2 linked regions of the Styela clava genome follow. The protein of the gene in region 1 purifies or fractionates together with the protein of each later gene. This does not show direct contact. Links are inferred from orthologs where the notes say so. Each region holds a gene or a part of one and is shown in the gene's direction. Other genes may lie near its edges.

Region 1 (3,759 bases):
AATCGAATGAAATGCCATATGAATAAGGCAATATCCGTGCATACGTAAATTCAATATATAATCAATTTTTATATTAAACTCTTTTATCAATTGTTGTAATAAAAAACTCTTACCGGTATATCTCAATGGATCACAAATTATTGCCATTGTCAGGCGCGGGACTGCTGTTTCTCCCATTCACAAGTTTATTAGCTTTCAGAATATTGAACTTCCTGTTCAGTTGGTCTGCAAATTATAGGAATACCATAAACAAATTTAAATTGCTAACATATTATCAGCAGTTGAGTCATCATGCCAAGAGTAAACTCATCATAATTCATGTGAGGGCTGGTAAGTTACGGCATCCTCCACCATCAAGTCCATACATCTGAAAGAAATAACTGGTTAGCTATTTCCATATTCGATATGAACTGGCAACCGAAAGTGAGTCGTGGATCGGCATATGATTAAGCCGTCTTACCTCCTTCAGGATAAGTTTGAAAATTTTATCCTACAAATGTGATTTCATCTATTAGAAAAACCACTGAAAAACAGTTGTACTGTATTGTTGACGATTGTCCACTGCAACCAAAATTAAATAGGGTCCAGTAAATATGAATTCATATAGGAAATCATAATAATAATTTCATTGAAAAGGAATTTTTTTTCTAGGATATCGAAACTATTTTTCATTGGAGGCTAAAGTTTTATTTTTGATCTTTTTATGGCATACTGGAAGTTTTCATTTCTTATATATAGAAATATGCTTGTGTTTTCTAAGCATTGTAAGCATATCATTGGGTGTTTTTCAATTATTTTGTTTGTTAGATCCAATTGTTGATTAATGTTTTTAATTAGTAGGTATTCTACTGTTCGTCCAAGCTATATATGGAGATTATTATTTGGCCAATTATCCGATTAGTTCCGTAATCAATAAAGGTTATTACCTCCTTACCCATGATATAACAAATTATATAAGCCAGAGTGTCGCAAAATATCAATCCATATTTTTAAAAATTATAGTTCATGTGCCCTCATTTAAAATTTAATAAACAATAAAATTCGTTAAAATTAGTGTTGAGAAAGAACTACAACTTGCAGATATCTGTTTCCAGTTGTATTAATATCGTTTATATGAATAAAAACTAGCTCACATGTAGCATCGATTTAATGTGAAGAATTGTAAGACTCTTCTTTGTCGTAGATTAATGAAGTCAATTTTTTTCAATGCATCATGGCCTGTGATAGATAACTTTTTGAGCCTTTGATATAGGCTATGTTAAATTTCTCTTGTATGTTTTTTTGCCTCAAACTTGATATGTAAAATCAAATGAGAAAAAAAAATTAATAGTTACGTCAGTTCAAAGCATTTTTCTTGATAAATGTGTAAAGTTGCTAATGTTCAGTTTTCAAATAATATGGTGATTAATTTCAACTTTTTTCAACAGATTTAGAATAATTTTTTAGACATGTTTTCTGAAAGTTGGTATGCTGATCATGCGTTCTATGATTTTGTGATAGAATGACTTCTGGCACTGACTGGCAGACGAAATATAATAGTAACGAATCTTCTCTTACAAACGCAGGTTGGGGGGCTGCTCCATCAGGCACAGTCAGCTCTCCTGTTTTGCATCCGGAAAGTTGGCCACAGTTGGGTTCAGAGCAAGAAGTAGTACAAGGACAAGAAATGCATCAACAACCGAGTCAGAGCTTTGGGGGTAATTTACAACAACCCGATCCTGGAGGTTGGGGTGGTGGGGGTATTTCAGGCGATACTAACACCACAACGACAAGCAATGGTTGGGGTACTCCTCAACAAAGTACTACTGGGTGGGGGGTCCCAGATAGTGGGGGAAATAATTGGTCCAGACAGCCCCAGGTAGACAACGGAACTGCTGTTTGGGGAAAGCCAAGTAACACTGGAGGCTCATCAGGTGGTTGGGGAGCTCCATCTAATCAAAGTCCTGCTCAATCAGCTTGGAATATCCCACCTCAAACAACTCCATCTGCTGCGGCACAAATTTCATCACAGCCCGAACAACAACTTCAGACTGGGCCATCACAACACCATAATTCAATACCGCAACAGCCCGAATCTTGGGCAGCTGCCGCTGCTGCACCACCCGCACAAGGACAAGCGAGTCATCAACCTCCTGTTTCACAACAAAATGTACTGAAGGATACAGAAACAGATCAGGCACAAACACAGTTACAACAGGCTCAAAGCCCATCAGATTCTCAAGATGCTCCTCCTAATGGTGACGTGGATCCAAATGACCCTGTACAAAAGCTTGTCAATTCCCATGAAGGTTGGGGGAAGAAGCCTATCCTACAAAACACATCCTGGGATATATCAGAATCACCGAACTTTGTCAGGCAGCCTCCAAATAAGACAGGCACAGAAGCTTGGGGTAAGACTGCTGCGGGTCAGCCTGCCAGTGGGGGATGGCAAGGTAATAATAACGTTGCTACTGGTACCCCTAGCGTACGTGGTTGGGGACCTAATTCCAATCCAATACCACAACAACCCCGACCATCATGGGGTGGTGCAACGCAACCAACTCAAGCACAACCGGGATGGGGTGAGGCTCGTTTACCTCCCCCAATGCCAACGGCTAATGTCAATCGCTGGAACACGCCTCCAACAGCTATGCCAAATTCAAATCAAGGTTGGGGCGCTTCTGGTGTGCAACAGGGTAACAATCCTTCGGGTAATTGGGGGAATACTACTCCTACAGATGGTGGCAGTTGGGGTAATGCCGCACAAAGAAACCCCCAATCTAATTGGGGGAACACTAGACCTGGACCAGAGAGTAGTTGGAACCAAACACAAAACATGCAACGTCAATCCAGTCAAGTTGATGATGGAACCTCGGCATGGGGAGATCCAACCGCATACAAAAGCGTGAATATGTGGGATAAAAAACAGGGTATGGGAATGAACATGGGGGGTATGGGTGACGCTAGCAAAACAAAAGCAGAACCTACTGGCTGGGGTGCACAGCCAGGATCACAAAATTTGTCAAACAAACCACCTTCACCCACTGGATGGGGCGATGGGAACCCACCAGTCAGGCAACCTAATGTAGACAATGGGACTTCTAACTGGGGAAAACCACCACCAGTTAATTCAGGTTCGAGCTAGATATTTGGTTGTATTAAAGCACAGTGTTTCTTCTTATTGTAGAAGTCTATCTTATTTCATATAAATGTGAATCATGAAGAATGAGTGGACTAACAATTATTACCTACATGAATGTATTAAAGCTAAGAAATGTTCACATTTAGAATCCAATTCATTTAACATTCTAAAGAGAGCGTAACTATTGTGCAAAGCATCCTGGATTACTGGACCCTTTTTTTCGAGTCGCTCTGGTAACATTTGGAATGTTCATTTCCAAAGGCATTTGGAGCTTGTCATGAGCAAAGAGAAATATGCCAATTTGAAAAAAATTTAAACAACTTCATACTAGTGTACGAATTTGAAGGAATTTTGGTTCTTTGTTTCTAAATTTCACGAGTTCCATTTCACAGTTATGACAACTTGCACAGCCTTCAATTACGTAGCTTCATGTTCACCTCATTTCACGAAAATATTCATCAGCATTTATCAATATTTTTTCAGGATCTAACTGGGACCAAAATAGCAATTGGGGCAACAAACCAAGCGCCGGTAACACAAGTGGATGGGGTAACACCCCAGAACAACCCGGACAACAGTGGGGCCAAACAGATGCAAATTCTGGTTGGAATCAAACATCAATCAAGGTAATAATCAAA
Region 2 (3,759 bases), on another chromosome or scaffold:
CTGTGAATTCTGCCAAGTTGCGCTTGAATGATTCAGGTCAAATAATGGTAAATGGAAGAGGTGCTATCAGTGGCGCAACCAGCGGGGGGGTTACGGGGGTCGTGTCCACCCCGTTTGAAATTCGTTTTTTTTTATTATCGTTCTACGTTCAAACAACGTCGTTCCACGGTCATAACAATCCGGTGAAAACTACTTTTTTCCAGTGCTTTATCACCTCGACGTAATTTAACACCGCCCGACTTCAATCATACCTTTTTGCTGTTAGTTACGTAACAATCGCTATCCCCGCGTATATGTTTGTATTCGAAAATGAGATATGTTACCTCAAAAAGGTAGAAATCGCGCGCTGTCGATGCGAATTGAAAGCGACAATAGCATAATGCTATCTCTTTCTCTCTTGTGACGAATACTCTCGTGCTTCATCATCTTGACGCAATGTATCGCCGCCCGTCTTCATGTTATAATAATGCAGTAGAAACTCTCAAAATCTGGATACGAAAATTATTTTCGGAAAAATATTGATTTTTATCGCAGCCATGTGTGGTACGGCAATAACTAACAGTCGTCGTGAAAGGTTTTCAATAAACTCCGACTTGAAGTGCTTATAAGACGTCGAGGACGTTTTTGGTTGAAAATTTTTTACATTTGTTATCGTATATTTCAATTTAGTCAAGATATGTTGTGCGCCTCGGCAATAAACTTAAAAGCAAATCCTGCCCTAATTAATTGTTTTCATCCTCAGTTTCGATAGTTATCGAACTTACCGGGAAATTTTTTAATTTCTTGCACTCTATAAAATAGCTTCTAAATATTATTTGGTTTCTATCGGAGATTTTATCGTTATCCCGGCGTCGTTAATAACAATATCGTTCATTTTAAGTTGGAGGTATTGGTTTATAATCGAAAAATTATAACACATAACATGAAAAATTTAAATCAACGCCGACTCAAAAAGTAAAACACGTTTCTCCATCTTTATTCTCCATTATTGGCGGACGGAAATTTGGGAATCGGGTTTAACTAATTTGATTATGATGACGATGGTAAACAAAAGTACACAAACATACCATACCGTTCTTAGTTTTTAGTCGTTATTTCTCTGTCCTTTCTTCTTTCTATGTGCATATTAAGACCATAAAACGTGTTTTATTTTTGAACTCTGCGCTGATTTGAATATTTCATGTCGGCTGTTATGTATTTTTGTTTGTAAATGAATACCGCTAACTTAAACTGAACGATGTTGTCATCAACGCCGGATGCCGTCGAAATCTGCGATAGATATTAAATACTATTTAAGAGCTATTTTATATGCGCTACATTACAAGTAATGAAAAAATTTCCTGTTATGTTCGGTCACTATCGAAACTGAGAATGAAAACAACTAATTAAGACACAATTTGCCGAGGACGCCTGAACCATCTCGACTAAGTTAAAATACACGATAAGAAAATATTTTCAATCAAAAACGTCCTTGAAGTCTTATAAGTTCTTCAAGTCGGCGTTTATCGAAATTCTTTCATGTCAGCTGTAATATATTGCCGAACCACACATGGACGACGCTAGGATATGTGCGCCATATTCGGGATTATTATAAACACGAAAAAACAGTATTTGAAGTTTGCGATATTTGAATTTAAATTCGATTTGGACATCCCTGCATTAAATTAGTCATTTTTTAGTTGTGTTTCCAAAAATTAGTTGTAAATCAATTATTTTAATTGTCATCATGTCTTCCGGTGAGCTTCAGTTTAGTTTAGAACTTTTCTGGGGTTAGGGTCGGGAAAAGGTCCATTCGCAAGAAGTGCATTTTGTTTTTAGTCTTGACGAATTCACCCAACGAGCAAGGCCGGCACTAGGGAAACACTGGAATTTATTCAAGCCGTGTTTCACTATCCACGAGGCGCAAAGCGAGGGAAATGTTGAAAATAATTAACAGCTTTTCGTTAGCAATTCGCTGGAATGTAATGAACGGTGTTTGCTACCCACGAGGTGCAAGACATAGCGAAGCGTCGTTAATGAACGAGTGCAAGGTAAGCTGAAGGCTGGGATTTAATCGATGGCGTTTCCATTTTAACCACGAGCAATTTATCGCGTTTCAGCGGGGCGACACCTAGAGGCGTTGCGACTTACGTCGTGGTTGCACTGTGTAAATTCCTGTCGGACCCCCCCCCCGTTGAAAACGGTCTGGTTGCGCCACTGGGTGCTATTTTAAAATTTATATATAGGCTTGCCTATTCTGATGTTGATTGAAAATTATGATTTAAGTTTAATTTTATTTATTAAAAAGAAAAATTCCATATTCAAGTTCAAATAATAAAAGTAACTCTTTACATATTGTCAGATTTCAATCAGGCCTCATCACATTTTTAGAATAAAGCGCAATCATAGCGATTTTTCTTGTGAATCATAACTTATATTTTGGCAGAATATACTCATTTGAATTATGTGGAACTTATGCTGCAAGTCATTCTTCATTTTTTCAAATATGATTAAATGCAATCATCTCGTTTTCAACTAAAATTATCATAACATATATTTTGGCAGAATATGCTCATTTGAAATATGTGGAACTAATGCTGCAAGTCATGCTTCATTGTTTTTATGCTCATAACCAAATCCCTCTGTTATGTTGCCACTTTATTCTTCGGGGTGGCTGTAATGGGGTCGGAATTGAACTAGGAACCCAAACTCATAATTGTTTAAAAGCAGGGCTGTGCAGCCCGCGGGCCAAATGCGACCCACAAGGAAAAATTATGAGGCCCACAGAGAAGTGCCAATTTTAAATAGTGTTTGGCCCACGAAACGAGTTTTCAATTTAGTCCTATCTAGTATGTGCAGGTAATTCCTATTCCTTTGCATTGCAAAACTTATACCTGAGCTTATGCAGAGCTAACAACACGTGTCATAAAATCAGTAACCAAAGTTTTGTGCTTGCAACTACTAGAAAGCCTATGTTGAATAAACGTGCGGCCCGCGATTTCACTCAGATATTCCTACCTTGCCCTCTTGTATTAAAGGTTGCACATCCCTGGTTTAAAATCATTAGAAATATTTTCAGTTATTACTAATCGATCTTAAGATCGGTAAGTATGTTGATAGGTTTTTGTCTGTTTGTATGTCTGTGTGTTAGATGCACGCGATATCTCACGAAAGCGAGTTTGAATCTGCTCCAAATTTTGAATGTGCATTCATCATAGCTCGGATCAGGATTATGTCTTATAATTAGCGAGTTATTGATTAATTAGTGATGGGACACACGGTGTCACTATGGAGTAAGACCACTGTTTTGAGGGATCCCCTAACCTTCGATCGATAAGTCTTCTTCTTTTAACCGATATTCTAGTTTTTTAAATTCATTACCATGTGCAGATGAAGCTTCAAATACTATGCAGTTCATGCATTCTATACTTTCTAATTTGGGTGCTATCTCGTTAGGGCCCAGCATCTAATTTCCGACCTTTTTAGTTTATCTTAAATTTATGGCAGTTCAAACAGGTACCCTAAGCCGAGAGGTCTACGGGACAGTTCTTTCTGGTTCACAAGCAATGTCTTCCGTTATTGAAAATTTGTGATTAATTTTAATGATTAATTTAAAAAGAATGGATCATGTCTTTTCAAACTATTTGCTATGCATGAAAACCCATATTTACCGGCTTCTCTGAAAATTTTCGAACCCCCCCCCCCCCCTCTAAAAATATCTTGCTATGCCCCTGGGTTATGGCAATAGCAGGGTAGCACCCAACCAACATGATGTTTTTA

The links. The genes of interacting proteins can lie anywhere in the genome.
Region 2: the proteins of uncharacterized protein LOC120338465 (region 1) and PAN2-PAN3 deadenylation complex catalytic subunit PAN2-like purify together in Homo sapiens (affinity purification with western blotting; 3 studies listed by BioGRID and IntAct, with this or other methods). This does not show direct contact. The link is inferred for Styela clava from reciprocal best matches to the Homo sapiens genes TNRC6C and PAN2.

Annotation. Positions count from the first base shown.
Region 1 is NC_135259.1:12,238,308-12,242,066, forward strand, and holds the start of uncharacterized protein LOC120338465, read left to right. Parts: upstream 1-1,408; 5' UTR 1,409-1,501; coding exon 1,502-3,113; intron 3,114-3,604; coding exon 3,605-3,747; intron 3,748-3,759. UniProt on the Homo sapiens protein: Plays a role in RNA-mediated gene silencing by micro-RNAs (miRNAs). Required for miRNA-dependent translational repression of complementary mRNAs by argonaute family proteins.
Region 2 is NC_135254.1:1,610,395-1,614,153, reverse strand, and holds the start of PAN2-PAN3 deadenylation complex catalytic subunit PAN2-like, read left to right. Parts: upstream 1-1,428; 5' UTR 1,429-3,099; exon of another isoform or gene 3,100-3,759. UniProt on the Homo sapiens protein: Catalytic subunit of the poly(A)-nuclease (PAN) deadenylation complex, one of two cytoplasmic mRNA deadenylases involved in general and miRNA-mediated mRNA turnover.